Linked DNA regions of Struthio camelus. The protein of the gene in region 2 purifies or fractionates together with the protein of the main gene of each other region. This does not show direct contact. Links are inferred from orthologs where the notes say so. Each region holds a gene or a part of one and is shown on either strand. Other genes may lie near its edges.

What was found.
Region 1: the proteins of SERBP1 (region 2) and RBM42 purify together in Homo sapiens (affinity purification with mass spectrometry; 3 studies listed by BioGRID and IntAct, with this or other methods). This does not show direct contact. The link is inferred for Struthio camelus from reciprocal best matches to the Homo sapiens genes SERBP1 and RBM42.
Region 3: the proteins of SERBP1 (region 2) and TSR1 purify together in Homo sapiens (affinity purification with mass spectrometry; 3 studies listed by BioGRID and IntAct, with this or other methods). This does not show direct contact. The link is inferred for Struthio camelus from reciprocal best matches to the Homo sapiens genes SERBP1 and TSR1.
Region 4: the proteins of SERBP1 (region 2) and DNM1L purify together in Homo sapiens (affinity purification with mass spectrometry; 3 studies listed by BioGRID and IntAct, with this or other methods). This does not show direct contact. The link is inferred for Struthio camelus from reciprocal best matches to the Homo sapiens genes SERBP1 and DNM1L.

Annotation. Positions count from the first base shown.
Region 1 is NC_090974.1:27,740-35,587, forward strand, and holds the start of RBM42 (RNA-binding protein 42), read right to left. Parts: upstream 3,003-7,848; 5' UTR 2,868-3,002; coding exon 2,848-2,867; intron 1,366-2,847; coding exon 1,233-1,365; intron 1-1,232. Other genes in the region: TYROBP (TYRO protein tyrosine kinase-binding protein), read right to left, coding at 3,289-3,363, 4,095-4,141, 4,463-4,579, 5,434-5,454, 7,134-7,185. UniProt on the Homo sapiens protein: Binds (via the RRM domain) to the 3'-untranslated region (UTR) of CDKN1A mRNA.
Region 2 is NC_090949.1:37,015,800-37,022,760, reverse strand, and holds the start of SERBP1 (SERPINE1 mRNA-binding protein 1), read left to right. Parts: upstream 1-3,956; 5' UTR 3,957-4,074; coding exon 4,075-4,483; intron 4,484-6,961. UniProt on the Homo sapiens protein: Ribosome-binding protein that promotes ribosome hibernation, a process during which ribosomes are stabilized in an inactive state and preserved from proteasomal degradation.
Region 3 is NC_090957.1:16,394,824-16,402,507, forward strand, and holds the start of TSR1 (pre-rRNA-processing protein TSR1 homolog), read right to left. Parts: upstream 3,005-7,684; 5' UTR 2,962-3,004; coding exon 2,856-2,961; intron 2,784-2,855; coding exon 2,680-2,783; intron 1,983-2,679; coding exon 1,766-1,982; intron 1,687-1,765; coding exon 1,552-1,686; intron 1,173-1,551; coding exon 745-1,172; intron 383-744; coding exon 223-382; intron 1-222. Other genes in the region: POLDIP2 (polymerase delta-interacting protein 2), read right to left, coding at 5,152-5,266, 6,853-6,932, 7,342-7,467, 7,653-7,679. UniProt on the Homo sapiens protein: Required during maturation of the 40S ribosomal subunit in the nucleolus.
Region 4 is NC_090942.1:67,416,875-67,424,712, forward strand, and holds the start of DNM1L (dynamin-1-like protein), read right to left. Parts: upstream 3,016-7,838; 5' UTR 2,887-3,015; coding exon 2,785-2,886; intron 1-2,784. UniProt on the Homo sapiens protein: Functions in mitochondrial and peroxisomal division.

The DNA.
Region 1 (7,848 bases), on a different chromosome or scaffold from region 2:
ATGGGGACATCAGTGGGGACATGGAGATGCCACCAAGGACATCAGTGGGGACACGGGGACGGCAGCGGGGTCACGGGGACGGTGGTGGGGACATGGGGACGTCACCAAGGACATCAGTGGGGACATGGGGACGGCAGCGGGGACACAGGGACGGTGGTGGGGACATGGGGACGTCACCAAGGACATCAGTGGGGACACGGGGACGGTGGTGGGGACATGGGGACGTCACCAAGGACATCAGTGGGGACACGGGGACGGTGGTGGGGACACAGGGACGGTGGTGGGGACATGGGGACGTCACCAGGGGCATCAACGGGGACATGGGGACGGCAGCGGGGACACAGGGACGGTGGTGGGGACATGGGGACGTCACCAAGGACATCAGTGGGGACACGGGGACGGCAGTGGGGACACGGGGACGTCACCAAGGACATCAGTGGGGACATGGGGATGTCACCAGGGGCATCAACGAGGACACGGGGACGGCAGCGGGGACATGGAGATGCCACCAAAGACATCAGTGGGGACACGGGGACGGCAGTGGGGACACGGGGACACCAGTGGGGACACAGGGACATCACTGGGGACATGGGGACGTCACCAAGGACATCAACGGGGACGGGGGGACACGTCCCTGGGGGCAGGTGGCACGTCCCCGGGGAGGGTGACACACGCTGAAGACAACATGACACGTCCTGGGCGGTGGGGGGTGACGTGTCCCAAGGGGGTGACACATCCCGGGGGGAAGCGACATGTGCCGAGGGGGAAGTGCCACATCGGGGGGGGGGAGGTGACACAACCCGGGGGGGGTGACACATCCTGGGGGGGGGGATGTGACGTGTCCGTGGGAGGGAGGTGACAAGTCCCCGGGGGGAGGTGACACGTCCCTGGGGGGGTGACAGATCCCGGGGGGAGGTGACACATCCTCGGGGGGGAGGTGACACGTCCCAGGGGGGAGGTGACACGACCCCCGGGGGGAGGTGACATGTCCTTGGGGGGGTGACAGATCCCCGGGGGGGTGACAGATCCCAGGGGGAGGTGACAGATCCCAGGGGGAGGTGCCACGACCCCCGGGGGGGGTGACATGTCCCCCGGGGGGAGGTGCCACATCCTCGGGGGGGAGGTGCCACGTCCCTGGGGGGGTGACAAATCCCCAGGGGAGGTGCCACGTCCCCGGGGGGGTGACAGATCCCCGGGGGGAGGTGCCACGACCCCCGGGGGGGGGTCCTCACCTGCTGGTAGGTGTTGGTGGCGATGATGGGGCGCAGCACGGGGGCCACGGGGGGCACGGCCAGGGCCACGGCCTCCACCACGGGGGGGCCGGCGGGCAGCGGCGTCGGGGCCCCCAGCACCTCCTGCTCGAACCTGGGGGTGGGGGGGGGGGGGTGACGATGATGAGGGGGGGGGGTCGGGGGGGGCGCCCCGCTACCCCCCCGGGACCCTCCTGCCCCCCCCGCCCCCCCTTCATTCATACCCTGCCTCCCCCGTTGCTATGGAGCATCCCCAGTCCCGCCCCCCCGTTGCTATGGAGCCTCCTGGCCCCACCCCCTGTCGCTATGGAACTCCCCCAGCCCCTCCTGAGAGCCTGGGGGGGGGCTCTAGCCCCGCCCCTCCCGTTGCCATGGAGCCTCTAGCCCCGCCCCCGTTGCTATAGAGCCCCCTCTGTTGCTCTGGAGCTCCTCAGCCCCTCTCGGGTGCCTAGGGAGGCCCCCAAGCCCCGCCCCCCGTTGCTATGGAGCCCCAAGCCCCGCCCCTCCGTTGCTACGGAGCCCCAAGCCCCGCCCCCCGTTGCTACGGTTCTCCCCAGCCCCACCCCTCCGTTGCTATGGAGCTCCCCAGCCCCACCCCTCCGTTGCTACGGAGCCCCAAGCCCCGCCCCCCGTTGCTACGACCCCTCAAGCCCCATCCCTCCGTTGCTACGGAACCCCAAGCCCCGCCCCCCGTTGCTACGGTTCTCCCCAGCCCCGCCCCTCCGTTGCTAGGGAGCCCCAAGCCCCGCCCCCCGTTGCTACAACCCCTCAAGCCCCATGCCTCCGTTGCTATGGAGCTCCCCAGCCCCACCCTTCCGTTGCTAGGGAGCCCCAAGCCCCGCCCCCCGTTGCTACGGTTCTCCCCAGCCCCGCCCCCGTTGCTACGGAGCCCCAAGCCCCGCCCCCCGCTGCTACGACCCCTCAAGCCCCATCCCTCTGTTGCTATGGAGCTCCCCAGCCCCGCCCCTCCGTTGCTACGGAGCCCCAAGCTCCGCCCCCCGTTGCTATGGTTCTCCCAAGCCCCACCCCTCCATTGCTAGGGAGCCCCAAGCCCCGCCCCCCATTGCTACGACCCCTCAAGCCCCATCCCTCTGTTGCTATGGAGCTCCCCAGCCCCGCCCCTCCGTTGCTATGGAGCCCCAAGCTCCGCCCCCCGTTGCTATGGTTCTCCCAAGCCCCACCCCTCCATTGCTAGGGAGCCCCAAGCCCCGCCCCCCGTTGCTACGACCCCTCAAGCCCCATCCCTCCGTTGCTATGGAGCTCCCCAGCCCCGCCCCTCCGTTGCTACGGAACCCCAAGCTCCGCCCCCCGTTGCTACGGTTCTCCCCAGCCCCGCCCCTCCGTTGCTAGGGAGCCCCAAGCCCCGCCCCCCGTTGCTACGACCCCTCAAGCCCCATCTCTCCGTTGCTACGGAGCCCCAAGCCCCGCCCCCCGTTGCTACGGTTCTCCCCAGCCCCGCCCCTCCGTTGCTAGGGAGCCCCAAGCCCCGCCCCCCGCTGCTACGGCCCCTCAAGCCGCACCCCCCCCCGCCGTCGCCACGCAGCTCCCCCCCCCGCCCCCGCCCGGTCGCCATGGCGACGCGCGGCCCCGCCCTCACAGCGCCATCTCGGCCTCCATCTCCTTGAGCCGCTCCTCGCCGCTCTTGGCCGCCGCGGGGCCGGGGCCGGGGCCGCCTCCTCCTCCTCCTCCTCCCGCCGCCGCAGCGCCGGCTCCGGCCGGAGCCCCGGGAGGGGGGGCGGCGGCGGCGGCGGGGGGGGCGGCGGCGGCGGCGGCGGGGGGGGCGGGCGCCGCCATGGCGGAGAAGCAGCGCCGCGCGCGCCGGCGGCCGCGGGGGGCGGGGGAAGGGAAGGAAGGGAGGGGGAGGGGCGCTTCCGGCGCGCGCCGCGGCGACGTCACGTCGCGACGCGCGCCGCGGTGACGTCGGCGGCGGCCGCCCCGCCCCTCCCGGAAGTAAAGGGGAAACCCCGCCCCCGGCGGCATAAAGGAGGCGGTAAAGGAAGGAGGAGAGGAGAAGCGCGGGCAGGGGGAAGCGGTCGGTTTATTGGGGGAGGGGGCCCGGACGCCTGGGCCCCTTGAGCTCGCTGTAGATGTCGCGGCGGCCGCCCTGCAGCTCCTGGGGGCAGAGGTCAGCGCCGTTACCCGGGCGACCGGCTCGGGTGCCGTATAAGGGCACGGTCACCCGGGTAACGGGCGGGAGTTGCCATATAAGGGCAAAATTACCATATAAGGGCATGGTTACCCGGGCGACGGGCTGGGGTGCCATATAAGGGCACGGTCACCCGGGTAACGGGCTGCGGTGCCATATAAGGGCATGGTCACCCGGGTAACGGGCTGGAGTTGCCATATAAGGGCACGGTCACCCGGGTAACGGGCTGCGGTGCCATATAAGGGCACGGTCACCCGGGTAACGGGCTCGGGCGCCATATAAGGGCATGGTCACCCGGGTAACGGGCTCGGGTGCCATATAAGGGCACGGTTACCCGGGTAACGGGCTGCGGTGCCATATAAGGGCACGGTCACCCGGGTAACGGGCTGCGGTGCCATATAAGGGCACGGTCACCCGGGTAACGGGCTGCGGTGCCATAGAAGGGCACGGTCACCCGGGTAACGGGCTGCGGTGCCATAGAAGGGCATGGTTACCCGGGTAACGGACTGCAGTACCATATAAGGGCACGGTTACCCGGGTAACAGGTGGGAGTTGCCATATAAGGGCAAAATTACCATATAAGGGCATGGTTACCCAATCCTTATATGGCTAAGATTGCCATATAAGGGCATGGCTACCCAGGATTGCCATATAAGGGCATGGTTGTCTTGGCCCCGCCCCCTAGGTCCCCAGCCCACCTGATAGGTCGACTCCATCTCGGGTGGGCGGGGCTTCTTCACCTCAGCTGAGGGGGGCGGGGTGGAGTCAGGCACCAGTGGCCCCGCCCCCCACCAGCAGCCCCATCCAACCCCACCCCTTCTGGCCCCGCCCCCAGCACTTAGCGCCACCCCCTGGCTGCACTAGCCCTGCCCACCACAAGGCCCCCACCCCATCTGGCCCCACCCTCCCATAGGCCCCACCCCCATGGGGGTCTAAGCCCCACCCACCACCTGACTCCACCCCCAACGCTGCCCCCACCCCAGCGGGCTGTAGACCCCACCCCCACAGCTGGCCCCGCCCCTTCCCTCACCAGCTCCACCCCCACCACTGGCCCCACCCCCCCTACCCCGCTGGTTCCGCCCCGCCAGGCAATAGGCTCCGCCCGCGATGAGCAGCGTCATGATGAGGTCGGCCACAACGAGCGCCGCGATTGGTCCAGGGCCCGGCAGGCAGGAGCTGCAGTCTGGGGGCCCGGACGCCTGGGTCCCTCCTCGGACGCCTGGGCCCCCTCCCGGACACCTGGGCCCCCCCCGGACACCTGGGTCCTTCCCGGACGCCTGGGTCCTTCCCGGACACCTGGGCCCCTCTTGAATGCCTGGGCCCCTCCCTGGATGCCTGGGTCCCTCCCCGGACACCTGGGCCCCTCCCCGGATGCCTGGGCCCCTTCCCTGGACACCTGGGCCCCTCCCTGGACACCTGGGCCCCTCCCCGGACACCTGGGCCCCTCCCTGGACACCTGGGCCCCCCTGGACACCTGGGCCCCTCCCGGATGCCTGGGCCCCTCCCCGGACACCTGGGCCCCTCCCCGGATGCCTGGGCCCCTTCCCTGGACACCTGGGCCTCCTCCCCGGACACCTGGGCCCCTCCCGGACACCTGGGCCCCTCCCGGACACCTGGGCCCTTCCCGGACACCTGGGCCCCCTCAGACACCTGGGACCCTCTCCGGATGCCTGGGGCCCCCCGGACGCCTGGGCCCTTCCCGGACACCTGGGCCCCCCCCCAGACACCTGGGCCCCCCCCCAGACACCTGGGCCCCTCCCGGACACCTGGGCCCCCCGGACACCTGGGCCCCTCCCCGGACACCTGGGCCCCTCCCGGACACCTGGGCCCCTCCCTGGACACCTGGGCCCCTCCCGGACACCTGGGCCCCTCCAGGACACCTGGGCCCTTCCCCGGATGCCTGGGCCCCTCCCCGGACACCTGGGCCCGCCCGGACACCTGGGCCCCTCCCGGATGCCTGGGCCCCTTTGGGCCGTTCCCAGAGGGATTCCCCAAGCCCGGACGCCTGGGCCCCTCGAGGCGGGGGAGGGGTTTCACCTCTCTCTGCGGCAACCAGCCCTGAAAGGTGAAAAAAGGCCCCAGTGAGGGGGGGGGGAGGGGCAGGAGCCCCCGGACGCCTGGGCCCCCAGGATGCGGGCACCCGGACGCCTGGGCCCCTCGTGGGCCCGGCCGAGGAGGAAGCTGAACAGACAGACGGGGGCCCAGGCGTCCGGCCCTCCCCCGCTCCCACAACTTCCCCTTTTGGCTGGTTGAGCCTGGGCCCCCTGGGGGGGGGGCGGACGGGGGTGCCCGGATGCCTGGGTCCCTTGGGGGAGGCGCCCGGACACCTGGGCCCCCAGGGTGGGGGATGGGGATGCCCGGACGCCTGGGCCCCCAGGGTGGGGGCTGAGGGCTCCCTGAATGCCTGGGCCCCCAGGATGGGTCGCCCGGACTCCTGGGCCCCCAGGATGGGGGCACCCTGAACGCCTGGGCCCTCAGGATGGGGATGCCCGGACTCCTGGGCCCCCAGGGTGGGGGCTGGGGGCTCCCTGAACGCCTGGGCCCCCAGGATGGGGGGTCCCCGGACACCTGGGCCCTCAGGATGGGGATGCCCGGACTCCTGGGCCCCCAGGATGGGGGCACCCGGACGCCTGGGCCCTCAGGATGGGGGCTCCCGGATGCCTGGGCCCCCAGGGCAGGAGATGGGGATGCCCGGACACCTGGGCCCCCAGGGTGGGTTCACCCGGACGCCTGGGCCCCCAGGGCAGGGGCCGGGGGCCCCCGGATGCCTGGGCCCCCAGGGCAGGGGATGGGGGCTCCCGAACTCCTGGGCCCCCAGGGTGGGTTCACCCGGACGCCTGGGCCCCCAGGGCAGGGGCCGGGGGCCCCCGGATGCCTGGGCCCCCAGGGCAGGGGATGGGGGCTCCCGAACTCCTGGGCCCCCAGGGTGGGTTCACCCGGACGCCTGGGCCCCTAGGGCAGGGGCCGGGGGCCCCCGGATGCCTGGGCCCCCAGGGTAGGGGATGGGGGCTCCCGGACTCCTGGGCCCCCAGGATGGGGGCACCCGGATGCCTGGGCCCCAAGATGGGGGCTCCCCGGACGACTGGGCCCCCAGGATGGGTCGCCCGGACACCTGGGCCCCCAGGGCGGGGGCTGGGGGCTCCCCGGACTCCTGGGCCCCCAGGATGGGGGCTCCCCGGATGCCTGGGCCCCCAGGATGGGGATGCCCGGACTCCTGGGCCCCCAGGACGGGTCGCCCGGACGCCTGGGCCCCCAGGGCAGGGGCCGGGGGCCCCCGGATGCCTGGGCCCCCAGGGTAGGGGATGGGGGCTCCCAGACTCCTGGGCCCCCAGGATGGGTCGCCCGGACGCCTGGGCCCCCGGGGCGGGGGCTGGGGGCTCCCCGGACTCCTGGGCCCCCAGGATGGGGGCACCTGGACGCCTGGGCCCTCAGGATGGGGATGCCCGGACGCCTGGGCCCCCAGGGCGGGGGCTGGGGGCTCCCCGGACTCCTGGGCCCCCAGGATGGGGGCGCCCGGACGCCTGGGCCCTCAGGATGGGGGCACCCGGACGCCTGGGCCCTCAGGATGGGGATGCCCGGACTCCTGGGCCCCCAGGATGGGGGCACCCGGACGCCTGGGCCCCCAGGATGGGGATGCCCGGACTCCTGGGCCCCCAGGATGGGTCGCCCGGATGCCTGGGCCCCCGGGGCGGGGGCTGGGGGCTCCCCGGATGCCTGGGCCCCCCGGGGGCACTCACCGAGGAGCAGCAGGAGGGCGAGGGCGCGGCGGGGGGTCCCGGCGGGGGTCATGGCCGGCTCCGGGTGCCGCGGGGCGACTGAGGCCGCCGGGGAGCCCAGGGCGTCACCCTGCCCGGGGCGATGCCACGGGACCCAGGCGTCCGGCGGGGGGGGGGGGGCCGGGTTCCACCCTGGACGCCTGGGCCCCTTGGGGGGGGGGCGGGGGGGACAACTTCTGCACAGCGGCCACTGGGGGGGGCTAAAACTGCCCCCGGGGGGGGGTAATAACTGCCTGGGGGGGTAATAACTGCCCCTGGGGGGTTAAATCTGCCCCTGGGGGGGTAATAACTGCCATCAGGGGGGGCAAAACTGCCCCCAGGGGGGGTTAAATCTGCCCCGGGGGGGTAATAACTGCCATCGGGGGGGCAAAACCGCCCCAGGGGGGAGCAAAGCTGCCCTGGGTGGGTAATAACTGCCTCTGGGGGGGTAATAACTGCCATGGGGGGGAGAAACTGCCCCTGGGGGGGTTAAATCTGCCCCTGGGGGGGTAATAACTGCCATCGGGGGGGCAAAACTGCCCTGGAGGGAGCAAAGCTGCCCTGGGCGGGTAATAACTGCCCCTGGGGGGGTAATAACTGCCCCAAAGATGGCAAAACTGCCCCTGGGGGGGTAAAATCTGCCCCCGGGGGGGCAAAACTGCCCCAGGGGGTTAAATCTGCCCCTGGGGGGGTTAAA
Region 2 (6,961 bases):
TTTTCAGGACTGACTGCAGTTCTGTATCACCAAACGTGCATGAACGTTTCTCCAGCAGGAAGTTTTACTGCAGGGCCGACATTTGGCAAGTAGCAAAGCCCCAGACCGAGTCACCTGCCTTTCTCCGAGCTGACTGTGGCGTGAACTCGCTCCTTGTTTAGTCTAGGGCAGGATGAGAAAAGGTGTGATCCCCCAATGCAGCAGCGGTGCAGGTGAGAAGTCTCTTGTGTGGGCGCAGCTATGCCAGGACACCTGCGCTCCCGACGGTAGGGGGGCTTCCCTGGCCCCCTGCAACAGACAGCTCTATCAGTGTACTGGTGCTGTGGTCGGGGTGCTGCCCGTTTCCAGCAGCGCTGGATAGCAGAAGTCAACTTTGTTTGTCAGCCTAAACCAAGCTGAAAAATGTTTTCTTCACTGAGCGCTTTTTCCCCGGCTTTTCCTACCTGTGCCTCTATCTACAAACGCGTTGCAGCTAGAGGATGCGTTTCGGTTGAGTTTCCTAAGGCAGCAAGACATGTGCAAAGCTTCCAGATGCAGCCATCCCTCCCTGTCACTCGTGAATGTGCTGGCCATTATCGAGTAGATTTAACAGAGCAGCAAGGGTCTGGAAAATCCTTATCTTCTCATAAGCCTTGTGAAATTAGACAGCTGGGTACTGGGGAGAGACTAGGCTGATGCCCCTTCTGAAGGAAAAAGCTCCCATATAGAGGGTGACTCTACAAGATATTGTTGAACCTTTTGGGAACTCACCTGGAGCTACACATCTCCAAGACACTAAGCTTTTTGGTTCTGCTACTCGTGCAAGCTTTCGTTTGATTTGAATATTTTCTTCTGTTTTTCCTCAGAGAGAGTCTGTCTGTTTTGTCACGGATGTAGCCAGCCCTCTGCTGCACACAGTCTTGTTTCCTCTCTACTTTTCCCATAGACTAGAGCTTGCTTGCGTGGCAAACTGCCAAAATCCTTATTGACTGCATTTGATAGGTATTCCAGCTCCGAGTTCCTCGAACAGACAGAACGCGAACCAGGTACGGTCGCATTGTGGACGTGGCAGGTGCCCCGTTCCCCCGGGGGGCGATGCACAACGGCAGATTGCATCCTGCTGAGGAATGGGGAAAGGGCTGCAGAAAAGCGAGTTGCCAGGTAAACGTGCAGGCTGTGCTTTCTGCAACACGGTGCTTACTGTGCCTGTCAGGTGAGGCAACAGTTACCAACTTGAACATGTTGATTAATGAGTTTGCTTTTCAAATAAGACTTGAACCTAGGTAACTTTTCCTTCCTGACAGTGCAGTTCTTTTGCGTGACTGAGAATAAGACGGCTGTTTGGAGGCGTGGCGCTGGGACTCTCCCTCTGTGTACAAGCTCCTTTTTTTTTTTTTCCTTTTGGCATTTTAAGAACCTTTCTTAATGTTTTGAATTGAAGTATTATTTTATGGCCAGCAGTGCCTGGAAACTGTGAATTCTGAAATCTTGTGTTCCACTGACGATACTGTCACATGGACTTGTGACCTGTGTGGCTAACTGTAGGGCATCTTTACTGCAAATGCCAAATACGGGGGCACGCTGCGTGCAGCCAGAGCAGGCAGAGGTGCAGAGAAGAGCTGGAGATTATCCTGCGTCCTTGGTCTGCGGTTTCTTGATATGCAGAGCTCAGTAAGCATAGCTGTCAGTGATCGTATACACGTGATAATCAGTTTACTTCTGGTATTAAAATACTTTGAATCTGTTTTATGCGTGCTTGACTCAAGGTGTAATCCTAAACCAGTTAGGCTATATCTGCTCTTTGAAATTTTTGAAACAGTGAATACATGCTAGCTAGTTTTGTCTAGAGTGGAATTTTACTAGATAGTTAAACGAAAGCAGGGTGCAGAGCTCTCTAGGTATGAAACTCAGCGTAGCACAGTGGAAAGGGAAGATGCACGATCCTTGCAAAACCAACACAACAGAGATGCTATGACCTCCCTTTGAGTGAAAAATCCCAAGTACCAGCAGCAGGCAGGTGCCCAGCTACTTGTGTAAACACATGGTTTCTTATAACCAAGGGGGCTGCCCATGCCATTTGGCAAGCAGCACTTCAAGGCTCAAGTGAGAAATGTTTGTATTTTGTTCCTAAAATGCAGCGATGCAGCCTCGATGCGTAATGTGACAGGAGGCTGAAATGGGTCTAAGGCTCTCCCTGAAAACATCTGCTCCGTAAATATAAATATTTTTAATTATGTGTTACTTGGTGACATTCGATCCATCCCCAAAGCAAAAGGCTTGGTTGAGGAAAAAATTTTGAGTCCGGAGGATATAATTTATGGTGATTACTTAACAATATCCTGAGACTAGGGTGAGCTTCTTGTGTGAGAGAGCCAGTGCTTCAATCATCCCTTAGCTTTCATTGTGGTACTCCAGGAGGGGGGTCCTCAAAGACCTCCCAAAAGCATCATTGCTCCAGAAAAGAAGTGGCTGTGGTAACGCAAGGAAAACTGATGAGGAACAGTGAATGCAACCAGTCTTTTTCAGCTTATCCAGAAGAAACTAAAGTGTGAACCTATTTTTTAAAAACAGCTGATTTGCGGAGTCCCCCATTTAAAACCAGTGCACATTAGAGAACTGAACAAATGTAATTAAACCAATTTTAAAGCAATTATTTGAAGTGGTCTGAGTAGATAAGGCAAATATTAGAAAAATTGTCACTTGTCGAGAATGAGTTTAGTTATGCTAATAGGTACTAAAAGGTTCTGACAGCCATGTAAAGATATAAGCTGTGGACATAGGAAGTAGTATTTTAGAAGGATGTCAGATATGTGCCAGTTAAATATGTTCTAATCTTTAATTATAACTTCCACGGACTATAAACGGAACTATGGAGAGCAGTTAACGCTGCAAGTACTTTCCACCTTCACTTGGTATTGTCTTCTAATTGTGCGTATCTGCTAATTAGATGAAGATGAAGGTCAGCGGAAGAAGGCATTTTTGATTACGCGGCTAGCGTCAAGCTAACTCTTAAAGCTTTTGAAACAGTAACTTTTACTGGCTGCAGAACAAATCTCTTATTAAACGTTGCCCTTCCATCACCCGCAGGTGTCCATCTCAGCGTCACCCCGTAGACGACATGATTTAAGGCCAGTGAAAAGCGTCCTAGTTTCTGAAGGCGGAAGCGCTCCGTTTGCGCAGCGAGGGCCGCCTTGACTGCGTCCACGCGCGGGCGTCCCCAGCCGCCGCCGTCGCCGTCGCGTTTTTCCTCCAAACGGAGCAGCGTGCGGCCGCGGTCCTTCCGAACCGCGGACGTGCAACCACGAGCCTGCTTCCCCCTCGGGGCGCGAGGGGAGCGGTCGTGGATCCCGCGAGCCCGGAGCGGCCGCCCACCGCTTCCACGCTCTTGACGGGTTTCTTTTTTTTCCCCCCGTTTTACCTATTTTTACGGGGCAAGGCGGCGGCTCGGAGCACAGAGCGGGGGCTTCGTACGCGAGCGCGCGGCCCCGCACGCGAACCGAAGCCTACATCCCTGCCTGCACCGCGCTTTCGCTCTAGGGGGGCGCAGACCCACCCGAGCGGCTCCGTAGCTAATTAACAGATATTAACTTTGCCGTGGCCAGGCCGACCGCCCCCTTGCAAACACCTCGGGTGCGCCCAAGCGCCGAGCTCTCCTTGAAAACGCCTGTGGATTTCCCCCCGCCCTGGCTTTTTTTTTTTTTTTTCTTTAATAGACTCCTGAAATTGCGCGTTTCTGCAGCAAAAACCGCCGCTGGGGCCACAAAAGATGCCTCAAAAAAAAAAAAAAAGAAAAAGGCCTAAATCGGCGAAACCGCCCCACCCGCCTCGCCGGGCCGCGCCATGGCGGCGGCGCGCCGCCCCCGCCCCCCCCCCCGGCCCGCACAACGGCGGCGCGGGGCACGCTGGGAGCTGTAGTCCGGGGCGGGGCAGGCCTGCAGCTCCCGCCGTGCCCCGCGCGGGGTGAGGTGCCCGGATGTGCCTGGCGCCGGAAGAGAAGCGGCTCTCTTTGGGGGACGGCCATCTTGTGCGGCGGCGAACAGGGCTGAGGGGGGCCCGGGCAGCATCGCAGGCGGATCCGGCCGACGGGGGTCCATCATGCCCGGACACCTGCAGGAAGGTTTCGGCTGCGTCGTCACCAACCGCTTCGACCAGCTCTTTGATGACGAGTCCGACCCCTTCGAGGTGCTGCGGGCGGCCGAGAGCCGGCGGAAAGAGAGCGGCGGCGGCGGCGGGAGCCAGGGGGGCGGCGGCGGCGGCGGCTCCCGCAGCGGCCCGGCGGGGGCTCAGCCCGGCTCGGCCGGCGGCGCCGGCAGCGGCGGCTCGGGCCCGGCGGGGACCGGCGGCGGCGGCGGCGTGGGCAGCGCGGCCAAGCAGCTGCGCAGGGAGTCGCAGAAGGAGCGCAAGAACCCGCTGCCGCCCTTCGCCGCCTCGGCCGCCGGCGGCGGCGCCCCCGACCGCCGCGAGGAGGGCAGCGGCCAGCCCGGCGCGCCGCTCCGCAAGGAGGGTGAGCGAGGCGGAGGCGGCGGCGGGGCGGGAGGGGGCCGCGGCGCCGCCGCCGCGCACAAAGGCGGCGGCGGGAAGGCGGCGGGAAGGGAGGCCCGGCCGGTCGGTCGGTCGGTCGGTCGGTCCCCGCCGCGGCGGCCTGGCGCCCACGTGGGGAAACGCGTGGCGGTAGGTGGTGGTGGGGGGGGAGGCCCGTCGCACGTGGCCGTGGGCGGCTTTACCGTTCCGGCCGAAACGCGCGTTTTGTTTCCCCGGTGTCCGAAAGGAGCCGCGGGCGGGAGGGTTGGCAGCGCGCAGACGGGACCGTGCGGGAGAGGATCGCTCCTGCCGCAGAGCCCGGGGAGCCTGCCCTCCTGTTTTGGGTGCTGTGACATGCTTAGCATCCTCTTCAGCAGTCTCTGGACTCGGCTTTTCTTTTTTTTTCCCCCTCCACGTTCACTGAGTTGTTTTTTTTTTTTTTTTGCGTCATAGCGCAGTTGATAGGACCAAGGTATGCGTTGCAGTAATACGTTTTATTAGTGCTCAGCCACATTTGTGCAAACCCGTAAGGCATCTCAGTAGACTTCACGGGAAGCTTTGGCTTCCTCTTGTGAGAAAATCAGAGTGGCATAAGCTTAAATAAGTTCTGGGAAAAGTGAGTAAAGGCACAATTTTGCCTGAGAAGGGGTGGATTTCGTACATACGTTCAGTCGTGTGGCAGGCGGTTGTACTGCACGCAAGGAAACGTGCACGTCTAATTGGCCAGAATTGTGAGCAACTTGGAGCTCTCGAGGTGCATGTATGCCGAGAGCAGTTAACGTTTGTGCGAAGAAATACTTACCAGTTGCAAACTTAACTCCAAATGGCCTCTTTGAAAATGCTCTCTGTTCACAAGAGGGCAAATTGCTACGTGAGGCTATGTTAATATTTTTGCTTTTAATACTGTACATGTTGCAGAATGATTCTCCACCGGGTTTTATGCTTTTTAAGAAAGGAAAACTTTCAGTACGTTTGTTGTTTTAGAAGATACCCCCTCCCCAAAAATATTACTTAAAAATACCTTGTGATATACAGAAGTCGAGAACTGTTTTACAGTACCCTTTCCTTATGCATCTTTTGTACTTCCAAGTCTGATGCTTGAGGGTTTTCATATGAGGAATGCAGTAACTTATCCTGAGTGGCGGTTTGCTAAACAAGTGTCCTTTGGAAGTACTTAATTCGGATACAGATTTATGGTGGTATTCCTCAAAAAGTAAACCTGAAACATGGGCAGTGTCTTTGGCCAATACAGCAGATTGCTGAGGGTTGTTTTGGTAAGACTCGCTATCAGTATGTACATAGCAGTTTGCACATTTATTTGCAAGAGCAAACACTACTCAACTTTGTGAATTGTAGCAATGAAACAGAGAAAGCCAAACCTTCTTTTGTAGCCGTGTGTATGGAGTACTTCAGTAAGAGACCAGTCGCCTTCAATTTTGAAAATTTCAATGCTTGTATGGGACAATACTACTTAACATTATAAAGGTAGTTGGTGCTATGGTATTAACAGGATTTATTTACTGAGTGAATATATTACTGTTTACACTATTGCCTTAGTCTGTAAAGGTGCAGATTATTTGGCTGATGAGTTACCCTTCAAAGCTATGTGATACTAAGACCAAGAGGTAATTTATATTTCTGGGTAGGCTGCACTAGGAACCACGATTTTCTGGGCACAAGGTGTTGAACTTGAAGTTCAGAAGAGCTGGATTATTCGTTTGCACTTCTGTAGCATACCTCCTGTGTGACTTTGGACAGTTCACTTTCTCCCTGGCTTTACCTCTAGAATGGAGTGATCCTTCTTAGTTTGAGTTCTTCTCAAAGTCAGTGAGCTTAAACTCATGTGTTTCTTTAGTGAGGAAGGATTACTTAGCAAGATATGTATGTCGTGCAAACTTAATGTTAAATACAGCTTGCAAGGTGAGGAAGACATTGTTCATTTGGGTGTGTTGGCTTGGATGTCATTACAACTGTAACTTTTTTAGCCCCACCCTAAATTTGGCATTGCTTGTTAGGCAGGAACTTATTTAAAAAGATTAAAATTTGAGAGTTTTTAATTTGAAAGAAAACTTGCATTTTTTGAGGCAGTCTTTGTGGTTTGCTTGGTGTTTTTTCTCTAAACATTGTGAAAAGCTAATAGGATAAGGATGGAGTGATATGTTCATCCAGATCTTTCTAAAGAACAGTAAACAGGTCTTTTGGAAGATAAATAGAGTTTTTTTATCCATTCAGGATTCTTCAAATGTCTTCGTGAAGAAGATAACGCCGTAAGAAGTGATTATTTAAAAATTTTTGATAAAAGTGGGAGGAAGGGGTATAGAAGGAGAGGGAAACGGCCTAATTGAGGTGAAATTAAAGGCAGAGAGAGGGAGTTAGCTGTCTAATTCACATCGAGGTGAATTTTTGTCAGTGAGCACGTATTGGATTGTGAGGATTGGAGCGTGGATTAATGCTTCGTTTA
Region 3 (7,684 bases), on a different chromosome or scaffold from region 2:
GGGCCCAGGAAAGGCAGCAACATGTAACCCTGTTAACCTCGAGGGAAACCATGCGGCCTAGTGGTCAGGTGATGGGAGTAGGAAGGGAAATCATGAGGAAGGCCAGAGCTCCTGATCAGTGCATTTCTTCACAGCCCCCTCAGCCATCCCAGTGACACAGGGATTCTCACAACGCTCTTAACAGGGACACAGAAAAGGTACAGAAACACTGTTACTGCTCACCCTCTGCTTCTTGCAGTTCTTCTTCAGTAGGCCATGTCTGCTCCCCTTCCATAGGATCAGGGACCACTTCTGACTGCAAAGGCTCCTGCTTGGTAGCATCTGCCTTCATCAGGACCTTAACATCCTCCTCCATCTCATCAGCACCATTTACAGAGTCATCCTGAAGGGCAAAAGAACAGAACCCCCAGTTGCAAACACACCTAATTCAAGCTAGGGATCAGTCTGAAGTGAAGGACTAGCTCCTCCCACAACCTTCGCTACCAAAACTATCCCCACCCTGACAAATAAGAAACACAAACTCCCCTCAGCATAACGTCCATTATGTCATAACATCACAATGTTCATTACATGCTGTATCCAAGGAAGTCTCGGCTCACTGGCAGAACACAAGCCCACCTTCCCCCTCAATGCAACCCCCTTTTCCCCCCACCCTTGGCCACATACACCCAATCACACTTTCTTGATGAAAGTTTAGAAACATCGGGTTATAACGGGCAAGGCAAACGCCGACCACCAGCACACCTGTATATCCATGCCCTGACTCCTCTTCTGTCCTTTAACCACTCGGGGGTTCAAAGAAAGGGGGTCTGGGGGGGCATCCACCTGGCTCATCTGGAAGTCTCCATGTCCCACAATATGCACCAGGCTGTTCACACTGAGGGTCTGTCCCCGCACAAAGCCGGACACCTTCAAGGTCCCCACCAAGTCGCTCTCCTGACTGGGCACAAACTCGGCAGCATAGGCAAGCAGGTGAGCCCGTCTGTCCCGAAAAGCAAGATGCCGCTGCTTCTGGGCACCGAGGTGCCGCAGCAGCAGCGAGCACTCCTGCTCTGTGTTCAGGGGGAAGAGCTTGGCCTCTGGAAAGCGTTTCTCAATGGCTTTGGCGAGTTTCTTCTTAGCATCTATCCGTTTCTTTGGTGGCAAGTCGGTGCCCCCCAGGACAGCAAGAGCTACCAAACAGCACACAGAACAGAGCTCATGATCAGAACATAAACCTTCTCATACCACTTTCACCAAGCGTTAACAAGACAAACTCAGATTTCTGCATTCAAACGAACCAAGCAACAGATTCACACCATAAGTTACAAAGGCAGTTTCACCCATTCAAAAGAACACACAATCATCACAGAAACCCATTGTGAGAATGCAGAACACAGCAGCAGGGCAACAGCACTTGGCCAATTGATACTCGCTTAGAAACAGAGTGGTCAGAGACCTGTGATCACCTGCTAACACATGGAATTTTTAATTACTGCAACAGTAGGTCCCCGTCAAGCACTTCCTTAACCCGCACCCCACTAGAAGTCCGCACGTTTCTCATTCACTCACCATAACTGGGGAGCCCCTGTGCAAAGAGGCAGGAGAGACAGTGCTCCCCTGTGCTGTCCCAGCCATCCACAGGATCCAAGAGGAACAGGAGGGAGTCTGCGACTTTCGCTAGGTCTAGGACAGCATGAACATCCCCTGCACGCAGAACATCTCCGTTACCGGGGCTGCTGGGGCTAGGGAGCGGAAACCCACCCCACCAGCAGCGTTTCCTCACCTGGCTGCGCTGCCACGAAGCGCCAGCGCTGCTTGAGCCGGGGACAGAGGAGCGCGAAGCCACCGGGTCTCCCATCATCAATGCGCACAACGGTCGAGTCCTGGCTCTGCAGCAAGTGGAGGGTGTCGTGCGCTGAGGCCCCGCTGTGCAGCGGCACCACGACCACGAGGTGCGGGGGTCCGTCCCTGCTGCCCAGGCTCCGCTTCTCTGCCAACACCTACGGGCACAGGGAGACTGTGAACCGCAGCTCCTACCCTCCTCCCCAGATCATGCCGCAATTTCCCCCACCTCAACTCAAACTAGTTTGGCCTGGTAATGCCACCCCCACCCCCAAATGAGCCAACCCAGGTACCTGCTCCGCTCCTAGGCCCAGTTCCTCATCGCCCAGACAGATCTCAGAAAGCCCAGGCCCTGTTCCACCCCCAATGCTGCTCTGAATCAGTCTAATTCCCGTTTCCCCACCCCCGAGCCAAACCATCCCAGTGCCCGTTCTCCATTCCCCCTCTTCCCTGTGCCCCAACCCACCACCCTCCTGCCCCAAACACCAAACCAGCCTAACTCCCATTCCCCACCTTCCCCCTGCCCCAAACACCCAAATCTGCTCAGGTGCCTTCCCCCTCCCCAAACCAACCCAGGTCCCATTCTGCATCCCCCCGCCCCATACCCGAACCGAACCGACCCGGGGCCCCTTCCCCCCCCCCCAACACCCAAACCGGCTCAGGTACCTTCCCCCTCCCCCGCCCCAAACCAACCCAGGTCCCATTCTCCATGCCTCTCCCCTCCCGCACCCGAACCGGCCCGGAGCCCGTTCCCCCCCCATCTCGTATCCGAACCGTCCCCGGGGCCCCTTTCCCCTCCCCCCAGCACCCGAACCGGCCCCTCCCGAACCCCTCCAAGGCCTCCCAGCCCCTCACCGCCTCCTTGCGCTGCCGGCGGAGCTGCAGCGCCTGGTGCCGCCGATCCACCCTGCCGAGGTCGCGGCGCCGCCGGCGGGGCAGGGCCTTGGCGGCGACTCGGCCTGCGGGGAGAGAGCGGTGAGGGAGGGGGCGACGGCGGCGACGGGGGGGGGCGCGGGCGGGACCCGCCTCACCTGCGGCGCGGCGCTGCGCGGCCCCGCGACGCTTCCCGCCCTTGTGCGCCTTGTTCTGCTGCTTCAGCGGCCCGGGCCGATGCGCGCCCGCCGCCGCCGCCGCCATGCCGCCTCCTCGCCGCCGCGCCCGGCTTCCGGCCACGTCACTTCCGCCCGGCGGAGGAGGCGGCGGCGCGGGGCATGCCGGGAGCGCGCAGCGCCGAGCACAGCCCCGACATGGCGGCTGCGAGAGGAGGGGCGGCGCCGAGGCCTCCCGCCGCCGCCGGCCCAGCGGGGCGCTGGGACACCAGAGCCCGCAGCCGGCGGCCCCTCCGCCTAGCGCTGTCCCCCAGCAGCTTTTCTCTGCCGGTTGCTGGAAGCGTTAGGAACGCCGCACCCCAGAAGGCGGGCGAGCAACGCGGTTGAACGTTTACCGCAGCGTCACCGTTGCTCGTCACGCCGAAGTCAGCGACCCAAGGGAAAGGCAGGGCAGCTGCGCCTCCGTTCCGGAGCGAGCCGCGACGGGGAGGGAAAAGCAGCGCCCGGTATCGTCCTCCCTTATCCCTCCTAGGAAACCAGCTGCCAGCTGAGCTGTTCTTTACACCCATCCTTTCCTGTCCCTGCAGGCAAGCCGACTGCATTAGCCTTTTAACTCTTAAGAGCAATGAAGATAGCATGTCCTACCTGACAGGAGGAAATTAAGGGACTGCTGACAACTAAACACGTCTAAGCAGCAGCAGTTCTCTCTCTCTACATGTGTATCAGTTGGCTGCAAGACAGCGTGCAAATCTCCCATTCTCATCTCTGAAGGCCGTGTTTCCGTCAGCTGAGATGCCCGCAGCACTGCCGTGCGGATCCAAGGGCAAAAAGGCAGCTCAGAGGGGAGGACTCGGGAAGAGGAGACAACTGGGATACTTTCCCATCAGGAATAATAATGATAACAAAAAGTCCCATTAGTTATTTATCCCTTGTCATTTAAGCCAAACCAGGGAGAGAAGCAATATTTGTTTGAAACTTTTTTTGCCCAGCCTTCACATCACAAAGCCATCTACCTCTGCCCCCTGCGAGTCGCCCAGACAATCTGGCCTTGGAAGCCCACAGTCAGCCAAAAGGGTCCCACCACAGAGGTCCACGTCTCTCTGCTAGCCTTCGGGGGATCTCAGCAATCCTCGGAGCAGTGGCAAGCACAGCTCTGGCTTGCAAAATAGTTAATGTGCTCAATTTGCACTGTAGGCTGGGCCTCTCATATCTAAAAGTAAAATTCCCACAAATCTATATATCACAAGCATATGGGAATTTCACTGACCTGTGCCTGCTTGGCTCTGCAGGGTCCTCTGCACAGTATACAAAAGTTAAGACCTGCTGACCTCAGAAAGCAGGAGTAGAAAGCCAAGCACCACCTCATTGTGGCTTCAGCGTTTCAGGTTAAAACAAGCCCTTCCTGTTGAAGCAGAAACTACCAACCAAGGAGATGCTATCACGTCTCATGCAGGGAAGTAACCGCTAGCAGTTAAGATGCACACTTCTCATGCTAGGCAAGTCCTTGCAGCAGGGGAGGGCTTCTGTCCACGTGCCCTGTACTACCACAACGAGCTGGCCTGTGCCCCACGCACAGCGGCCTGCTCGGCACCACCTGCCAAACGGCCTCTCCACCTCTGCACTCCCTTCTCCAACAAAATGAGCTTTGCATCCCTCCAGCATAGTCCAGACGAGCAGTGCCATTCAGAGCTGCGCAGAGGGAGCACGGCTTTCAGGCTGCTCTGCCACACGCTGGCTACATCCCAGAAAGCAGCTGCATTGCAGGAAGGCTGCGCCTCACTAGGAAGCAGAACAGCTCACTCTTCTGCTCCCTACTGCTGAAGCAGTGAAAAGTTTGGGCTGACTCTGCTTTGCACAGAGGTGAGGGGGGAGCAACAGGCTGGGGCAGGCTTGATGCAAAACCCAGGCCTTGGTTTACAAAAGACGACAGGTTGCAACTGGAAGGGCCAGTTTATTAGAGAAACCTCATATTGCAGAGAAGTCACAACACATCGGAAGGGGTCCAGGCCTGCTGAGTGGGCCAATCTTCTGCAGCAGCACAGATCTAACTCCCCAGCTCCAACCTCAGCAGGTGCCACAAAGGGAAGGGTTAACTGTAACAGAGCTTATGTTTACAAGCAGCCTGAGAGAGCCAGTATTAAAGTTCAAAACAACCTCCCCGTTAGACAACGGTTAAAACAAAAATGGTTTAAAATGTTTAAAAGCTCCGTGTTCCTGGCTGCGGTGTGATGGGGAGGCAAAGGTCTACAACACACACAGTTCTCTGTGGATCTCTGCTCTACCAGTGAAGGCCAGAGGGGGGGGTCTTCTCATCTTTGTTGCTTTCCAGAGAAAAGGGTGGGATTCGGACATCAAAGTGGGAGCCATCAGGCCTTTCAAATCGAAAAGTACCCCTGCAAGATAAAGGCAGAGATTACACTGAGGCCAGGGCAAACATCTAGGAATCGTCAGCTAAAAGGTAAGAAATGAACTTCTCCGTTTCCTGCGAAGGGACTCTGGGGCTGCATTTGCAAGGCTGGTTTGGCAGCAAGCACACCTCTCTGCCAAGGTGACTCAATTATTACAATACTCCTGGGCAGTTTACAACACATCTCTCATGTACATTTCCTGAATAGAGATGTCATGTTTGGATCCCCCAGGAGGCATATTGCACCCCGAGCATCTGCAGCAATATTTACCTAAAACTCACCCCAAAGGAGACAGAACCTCTGAGCTATTTTTACAAACTGATTACAAGTAAATTCAGCTTCTTATTTCTTGGCAGAAGCTCCACTGGTTAAGAAGCCTGGGACAATCATGAAATCCCATCACAGACATAACTTGGAGCAGCTTCTGCTTTGAATTTCAGAAAGGGCACTGAAGAACCAAATCTATTCGTCCTTATGCAGAAAAAGCATTTGCCACGTCCCCAGAAGAACTCTCACTGCCATGAAATACAGACCACTGTGAACTGCAGAACGTGACATGGGCAAGAGCACCGTGGAGATACAGTAATAGGTTCTCATAATGCAGAGGACATAAATAAGGACACAATAAGCCAAGCTGAGCACAGCTTCTGAACTTCAGAACTTTTGTCTCCTTCTCTTCAGGATGCATGCAGAGAGCTAAAAACACTAAACAAGCTGTTTTAATTCCCCAGGGCATGCATTCAGGCAATTGTAAATACATAGCATGGCAAACAATGCTAGCAAAGGTATATCTTACAGGCAAAGAGCTGCTCTCACGCATTTCCAAGGCAGCTCAACTTCTAAAATAGATTGACTCAAAAAGCGCAAGCCAGAAAGACCTGTCATACAAAAGGCAAGAGGTGGCTGCGCACTTCTTGTCCCCACAGAGATGACACTCAGTGTGCCAACCCACTTGAAGGGAAGGGAATTTGCTTCAGCCCCAAGGCACAGGAAAAGAACAGCTCAACCTGAGCATTTTCCATCCCACACCAACAGAAGAGGAGACCTTAATGTCAGTCAGACTGAAGGCCTTATCTGACCTAAATTGGGAATAATCCTACAGGCCAACTCCTTGGATACAGAACTGCACAGCTTCACTCAGGGATAGAAAAGCCTTGTGAAAGCGCAGGGAATACTTGTGCACGCATCCCTGCTGTCCTAGGGGAAGACCGCATGAAGACATGCCTCTTGCGCCAAGGACTGAGAGGGACAGAAACCAAGTACATCAGCTGATGATGGAGAACTGCTCCAGCTCTTTTCAAGTCCAGTCTAGCACAGACCAGAGAAAAGTGGATAAATTAGCCTGTAGCCTCTCCCAGTGCAGGGAATCAGCAGATGTTCTTATTACTACCTGGGACTATTGCTATAGAGTAGCTTCATACAAACACTCATTTTAACTATCAAGTATGTCCTGTCCAGTCCACTTCTACCCACCTTTGAGTCTTAATTCCAGACTGCAAACTCTGCACGTCCCAGATCAGCACTGTAGGGTCCTATATCTAAACACTACTGCAGTAATAAATGCTCCTTACCACATGTGACCACTGGATGCCTGCAGGGAGACGTGACTACTGTACTGAAATGCTGGCTGTTCTTTGGATAAAACTGGCTCCTGAGAAGACAAGAAGAGACAACCCTGCATCAGCAGCGGATCTTAAGATTTCTCCATAGCCATCCATCAACAGAAAATGTACACAAAAACAACCACAAAAACAGAGATCCACAGGCTTCAGAATGGTACTTAGCATCACTACAAACTAGATGACAAACAACTCACCCAGTGATTAGCATGAGAATTGCAGTTTTCCCTTTGTCAGTCATTTAGGACCGTTCTCTAATACTCAATGTGAGGTTTCAGCTCACAAGTATCAACAACAGATGAAAAGCTCATGTGATTTTTTTTTTTCATAGCTCATTTTCTATTCCATCTAAAAATGCCCATTAAGAAATTGACTGCTAAATCAGCCCAAGCAAAAGGCTCCATTTCCCAAAAGAAACATATGATATTACACAATACCTACCCTTCCTACAACCCCACGACCTCTGACAGTTTCCAAGGTGCCGGACAAGCTAAATATCCTCCAGTGCCGTTCTCGTAGTTGTACCACTTCGCTGTCAAGGTTCTCCAAGCGAATACAGTAGCGCCACTGGACAGAAGAAAGACTGTTATCAAGAACTGTAATCAACTGCAGATTGCTAATAACCCACAACTGAGACTGGGAAACAGTTGCCAGGCAAGGGCTACCCTCCCTCAGAGCTTATCACACAGCAGCGATGCCACAGCGAATAAACTCCTTCCCTTTAGCTGCTTTGTGAAACAAAACGCACTTACCCAGTAGACGTGGGAATTCTGGGCTTCCTGTC
Region 4 (7,838 bases), on a different chromosome or scaffold from region 2:
CTTTAATGAAATAGTTGTAAAAAGGGAACTGAAACACAGATTCAGGAAAAGATAAATAAAAAGAAAACCCACTGTAGAATGACAGAAAAACCCTAAAATAGCAACACAGAGTTAGCATTCCAAGGGCATTCTCCGAGTTCCCGCAGTAGGAAATGGAGTCTTCGGTTTTCTTAATACACTCTAGGAGGATACAGAAATAACCTACACAGTATTTAAGTAGAAAATGAGAAGCAATTCTCATATGACAAAGTCACAAGAATGAGACTAGAAAAAGAGCAAGAGGCCATCTAAATGTTTAAAATCTACTAAGAAGTATTTTGTAATTAGTATCAAAATCCATCTACAAAAATCAAAAAATTAGGACACCTCAGTTGCTCAGAGTTTTCAAGGAAGATAGGAAATGAGTTTCCAAACAAGAGAGAGGGGGAAAGAGGCACATGGAGAAACAGAAAACATCCAAAGATAACTTAAAGATTTTAAGTACTTGCTAACTCTACATACTCTAAAAAAGAAGAAATCAATTTGGCATATAGAAGTAGAAATAAATGAGAACTGAAGAAAGACATAAGTACAAAACAAATAGTAAAAGGGTACAGAACAGATACAGAAGGTAAATGAAAACAAATGAATAGTGAAACTGTTAAAAAAGGTTTTTTTTTCTCCATGCTAAATATAAAAAAAGGCCATTTTAGAAAAGCAACAGACAAAATAGACAAAAAAAATTAATGGAGGGTTACAGAAATGTTAATAACATTTGTTTTTCCACATAGTAAAATGAAGGTGCGAAATTCAGAAAGTTGTTAATATTATACAAAAAAGAAAAAACAAGAGACTGCAAAAGCCAGTGGGCTACAAAGAAATTAATCATCTGAACAAATTTAGCGGTCACATATCACTTAACCAAAAATACCTCAAGAAACCGACCAAAGGATATTGGTTTTTTTTTTAAATGTGTCTTCTCAAACAAACAAACAAATCACGGAAGCAAAGCACCAGTAGTAATAGGATCGGCTATAGGGCCATATTTGAGGCAAATCCAGAAATCTAGTAGCCAATAAGCTAACTTCAAATGAATAAAATAAAGTGTTTTTTAAAATGAATGAATTGGGTAAAATAACTATCTAAAGAATTAGCATTTCAGTGAGAACAATTATTTCTTCCAATAACTCTGACTAAAAATAGTGTTTTGCAAACAAAAAAAAAAATCACGGACCAAGGGCTTTATATATGTCTGTGAAATTATAATACAATTATATAATGTAATTATAATTTCACAGACATTTTGCTGTATTTTTTCTGGAGTCTATAAAGCTCTTGGCCTTGGTGTGCTAAGAGGCATCACACTATTTTACCTTATTCTATGTCTTTTCATGAGTTTACCAAATTTGAAATTGAATGGATGTTACTACCCAAGGGTAGACTGTTCAAGTCAAATGCATGTCAGTATAATCGTAACACGCATCACCTACTCTATGTATTTATGAGCAGTTAACTAGGATCAAGTTGCTATAAAGCAACAATAATCCAAAAAATAAAGTGTCACTTCAATGTGTTTCATAAAGTGAAACAGAAAATAATACTTCCATTAACATTACACAGAAAAATGCCATATCTCTGCCTTGCACCTATTTCTGCTATAGAAATTAAAAAAAAATACAGCCTGCTTGCATGATTTTTAGTGTAAGAGATTAAATGTCTTCAGAAGGTGATGGACTCCTTTTAGCTACAAAAACAGCAAGAACCTAACATAACCTGTGAATGCAAAGTCTCTCCCACACAATGCAAGTATTTCAGATCTATTTTATAAAGTAATTGATATAAAGTCCATGAATCTACCTGATTTATATCAGTAAAAGAGACTGACAGCTGGTTGCCTTACAACCATTTCAAGAGTGTAATTAGCTATGGGCAAACCTAGTCCGTGCTTCAGCACTGTGTAAGCCTTAAACACGCAGCATCTGTTTTAAGCCACATAATGACATCTCAAACTGACCGCAGAACAGTTGATACTGCTGTCTCTTATGTAGCCAGGCTATTGTCAAGTAACATCAAATATTCATAAGCACGGTTAATTTCACAGAAACAAAGAGACCCATTAACTCCAAGTTAAAAATGAAAAAGCACTCCCCTCCCAGGCAGTTCTAGCTGTGCTAAAATGCTTCATTTTCAGCCTACAACTCCGACAGCTCTGGCTGGGCACATTTCGTCGCGGAGAGTTCTGTCGAGCAACTACAGCGCGCTTGCGTCCCTCCGAAAGGCTCCGAAACAATTTATAACCCTCCAGCGCTACCAGGCTGGGATGCGCACGCCGCAACTGTTCCAGGTTTGCTCTGTGCCGCTTCCTCCTTTCGCTCCAAACCGCTGCCCGAGCCAAACAGGTCCCAACAGCGCAAGGAACTGTCAAGCGACCTCGCGGGAGGGGGTTAAAAAAAAAAAAAGGGTGCACGCCGGCGAGAGGCGGCTTCTCCAGCGCGCTGCTGCGCCCCTCGCACTCGCCACCGGCCACAGCCGCCGGCGGCGCGGGGGAGGCGGGGAGCGGGCGGGCGGCGGAAGGGGAAGAGGCGCCGCGGCCGCAGGCGGCGGGGAGGCGGCCCGCCCCGCCGCGTCCCCCCGTGCCCTTGATAGAGGCAGCACCGGAGCCGCCCGAGCCGAGGCGCGGGGGAGGGTGCCTCGACTTTGCCCCCAGCGGCCGGGCTGCCGCCTCCCGCCGCTCGGCACCGACGGCCGCTCCCGCCGCCGCTGCCACCGCCCCGCCCGGGCCGGGCCGGGCCGCCCCCGCCTCACCTGCGTGCCCACCACGACGATCTGCGGCAGCTGGATGATGTCGGCCCCCACCGTGTTGAACACGTCCTGCAGCTTGTTAATCACGGGGATCAGCGCCTCCATAGCGGCGCGGAACCCGGCCGCGGGCCGCAGGTGCCGGCAATGAATGGGCGCGACGGGCAACGGCTCCCGTCAGCCGCCCCCACCGCCTGCCGCCATTGGCGCCGGCCCCCGCGCACGGCCCCGGCCCCCAGCAGGCTGTGCGCGCCCGCGGGGCGGGGCGGGGCGCCGCCGCCGCGCGGCACCACGGGAGCTGTAGTGCCGTTGGGCGGCTGGCAACGGCTCGTCGCGGGCCGTAAACGGACGCGTGGACTCGGGAAACGGCAGCGGGCGCGGCCCCCTCCCAGCTAGGGAAGGCAGGGTTACTGCTTTCCTGCAGTCAGGGGCGCCTCAGAGGCGACGCGGGCCCCCTGCGCCAGGGGTTGGCAGGCCGGAGCCACGGCCCGTGGCTGGTGCTGGCGGCCCTCTGGAGCCGGCAGGGCCGAGAGGCCGCTTTCCTTCGAGGCGCGGGTAGCAGCGAGCGGCTTGAAACCCCTCAGGAAGCAGCACTGCCCCAGCGCCAGGGGAAACAACCCAGAGGTGGCAACACGCCCGCCCGCTGCCCGGTAACTGCCTCGCCGCCACTTGGCCCGGCAAGGGTGCTAGACGGCAAATTGTTAACTTGTCAACAGGCTGGTCCCACCAAGCCGACAGGATGGGAAGATAAAACTGCTTGGAGGGAAAAAAAAGGGAGGAAAGCATCATGGGGGTTCATTAAGGGAGAGAAAAGAGCCAGAGAAGATCCAGTCATACAAAATATGCAGCAAAAAGAACATTCTCCCATACTGGTACACATACAAACAGACAGTTACAGTTGACAGGGCAGCAGGAGCCTAGATTTAAAACCGCTGGGTAAAACTGGGGGTAAGAAAAGCAGACACAGCCTTTGCCTTTTATATTTTCTAAAAAGTTTTAGCAGTTGCTGTGGCCCCTCCTCAAGTATTTTCGTGTTTCGCCTCAGTCATTTACATGCACCCCAAGAAGCCTTCTCCCTGCCAGCAGCATTTTAAAAACCTCTCCGTGTAGATGACACAGCTACATACATGCTCAGCTATGTACAGAAAAGAGTCCATTTGCAATTATCTGCAAACATAGATCTCTCTCTGACTACTTAGATGCACTGACCCATCTTACTCAATATTCTGGCCTGGGAGGATGTTCAAAATGTCTCCAGATAAGAATCAGATACTGAAACAGAAGTAAAGCATCCTATCTCTTTCAAGATCTTTCTTACTGAGTAATCATCATTCCATTATATTTATTCTATTTGCTTTCTTGTTGATGGCTTTGCTTTAGGTGCCAGTCTTTTACCTGACCTCTTCATCTGAAATTTTCCGGCTCAGATGCATAATAGTAGGGTTGGATGAGGTGTCTGGTGAGGCTTGGGAAGCGGAAAACTGTGGAAGATCTAGTATTCAGCTGTATCTTAGAAAAAGATAGACTAAAGCCTGAGAATGACTTGTGATAAAAGATAACAAAAAAGCTATCTGATCTTTAAATATCTTTCCCTTGAATGCATTTTCTCAAAGATAAATTATGAATATGTAATAGTTCTGAACTGAATTCTGGCATTGTCCCTTCCTGAATGCAACTGCTTCTGAAACTTTAAAGTTCTGGTTGACATAAGACTTTGTATTCTTATTCAGTCCAAATTAGTCAAGTCTTTTCTGCTCTTCATTTCTTGAAATTATCGAATGATGAAAGGGAGAATACACAAGGGCAATATGTTCTTGCCTACATATCTTTTCAACACAGCTTCTCATTCTTACCCAGTAAATTTCACACGGCTTCTTAGAGAACTGATATTTTATTGACAAAAGCAAAAAGATAGTTAAGCGAACTGAAACGGTCAGAAATGATTGTTTGCAGCATAGAGAGAAACAACTGGTTAACACTTGGAAAAATAAATGAAGAAGTGCCTAAATAACTTGTTGATGAGGAAGAAAGCAGGAGGACTTCTTATCATAGTGATACAATGACCTGCCATGATTTTCCAATGGTTTCACCCATTGGTTTTCAAGTGTGCTGAAACTGGCGGGTCTAAGAGACATTAAGATCATTAATACCAGGATGCCATTCAGGATCTGCCTCTCCTGCTGCCAGAACAATAGTGCATATTTCCTGTGTTGCATACACTGACACAGCCATAACACTTTCTAAAGGGTTTGCAGTTCCCTGACGAGGTCTATCACGGAACCTCATCTTATCTCCTTCCTCGAGCTCCTAGAAGGAGAAGGAAAAAAAAAGGAAAAAAAGAAGGAGACACATCCTTGTTGCATCGGAATGGAAACTGTTGGCATCTAAAGTGGGTAGAGGAGAAACTTATTTCTCTATGCCACTGTCTTTTCTCCTACTGCTTTCGTTTTCCGTGTAACCTAGTGGACAGCACTGTGAAATGGGTCAGCAAGTACAGTCTGTTTCACATATTAATTTAAACTAAAAGTGGTACATCTCAGAAAGGATATACAACTGAAAAGGTTCAGAGGAGGACAGCCAGAATGATGAAAGGTGTGAAACTGCATTGATAATGAGGAGCAACTAAGCAAGCTAGGAGTTGCCACTCTACAAAAGAAAGAAGGGAGGAGGAAGGATTTGAGGTCTGTATAATCTAGTGGCCTGGAGTGGTAGGAAGACGATCAATTTGTTTATTCTCCCTTTCAATACAAGAATTATTGGAGCATCTAATGAAGCAAGAAGAAGCCAGCTCAGAACAGAGCAAAGATAGTAGACCCTCATGGGTGGGTTGATGACCTATTGAAGTCCTTGCCAAAGGACGCTGTGGACAGTAAAATTTTACATGAATTGAGATGGAGACCGAACAAGTTTAATGAAGAGAAATGCATTGCGTGTAAATAAATACCTAGGTAGAATTTGCATCTAGCTCTGGAAATTTCTGAGCTGCAATGTTTGGAGGCTGAGAGAGCATCAAGCAGAAATACTGTGTACGCCTGCCCTTTAGTCTATCCCAGTATGGCCATTCTTGGAATTTGATCTGTATAACATTTCAAGAAACATACATGGAAAACATCAGTTGCTGAACTGAGTTGAGCAGAGATGTCAAAAAGACTATCAAGAAAAGGCAACCCAGTGTGAATTAAGGAAGAGAAGGAAAATGTGAGGAAAGGACTAAAGAAAATACAAGACTAGGAAACATCAGGATGCAAAGTTTAACATTGTACATTTCTGGCTAAAAAGTGGAAGCTGGAAATACCTTTGCTATGAAGCATCATATCCTTTATCAGCTTATGAAATGAAGCAATTATCTTATCCCAGTTAGAGTTCTGTGCCAAAGTAATAATCGTTTTAACAAGCAAGGATCATATGTGGCTTTATCTGTCTGCTTTCTATCTCAGACTCATACTGTACTGAGCAAGAAACTCGATGTGATAAAATAGTAGTAGTCAGGCTGGTTATTTACTAAAAGCAATTGACAACAGCAAGAAAACAGCAACTGCCACACTGAATCTGACCTGGTATCCATCTGTCTCAGAATCTCACCTCTAAAGATGTCCAGCACCAATGCTCCAGGGAAAATACAAAAATGCAATAATAAGATCTTATGATCCCAATACTATGTAGTAAGTAATTTTGATATTGCCAAAAGCTCTGAAGTAGACAATTCAATATTCCTTCCGTTTTATCAACATTACTTGAAACTAGATTGCTTTAGACACCTTATAATAGTTTTTGATCCATCAAGCTAAATTCTTGGCTGTAACGACTTCCTGTGCTAACAGGTTTCATGATCTAATTACACACAGTTCAAACAAGTTAGTGTCAGTTTTGAATTTGTCATCTTTTAATTTCATTATAACCTCTCCTTTGAAGGAAAACAAGTCTGAAGTCAGGAGAACAAAATTTCCAGTCTTTCTTCTCCATGGTATGAACTTACGTAGTTTTATGTCATCCTGATATTCCATTTACTTAGACAGCTGGAATCTCTTATATTGATGCACCGATCACAGTAGGAAAGTCACTTGCAGTGTAATGAATTCATGCTAGACAATGAGACCACAAGCCACGACCTCAGTAGGGAAATTTCTGTGCTGTCGTCATATTTGTCTAAAGAAAGAAAGATTTGACCGACACACTTCAATTTATCCAGTACGTAACATACTTAACATTTGCACTGCATACAAATCCTACATATTGCACAAACAGTACTGGCAAAATACTTCTCACCTTTTGGAACCATGTAACACAGACATTATATGGGTCTGGCAGAGCCTGATTTTTATGTGAGGCCAAACTGAATGGTGTTTTTGTATCCTCTAGAGCAACATCATCACAGATGTAACTACGACACTCTCTCATAGCACATCCATCAGACATCTGTAAACATCGTTAGAAGCTGAGATAAATACATGCCTCAAATCCCGTAACAGAATGACCGTTAGTTTGGATGTTCTACATAGATTATCCAAGCTGCCAGATTTTAAATGTTGGTCTTATTCCAGAAGAGACAGAAATCGGAGGTTTCAAACCCATACTCTGGGGGGCCTGAGTGACCTCTGCTACATGTATCAGCTGGCTGTTAAGAAGGTCACAGTGCTAATAGTAATCCTGGGTTATGCGTTACCTGTACTGAGACGCAATCTCTGGCAAAACAAATTCGTGCTGGGGCAGGGATTCAACTTTGCTAGACTAATTGTAGTACTAAACTACTATCCCAGTGGATACTACTTCCCAGTATCCACTGGGAAGTTAGGCAACTAAATTCATTGAGTATTTGGGATGTCAGACAGCCTCTCCTAAAGCACGTATGCAGAACTGAGGGCAGATTTCAGGATAATGCAGGGGCAGGGCATAGACGGTAACAGCTGCAGGGCAAACAGAGCGTTCCGCGTTCATCAATCAGTAACACGGCCGGAGCCTTCTGGAAGGCTTTTGTAAGACATCAGCAATTCTGATAAGGCCAAGAGGTAAAAGTTTTCCTTGGAAATGAAAATAATCTCTGTATCAGCCTGTACTGCTGT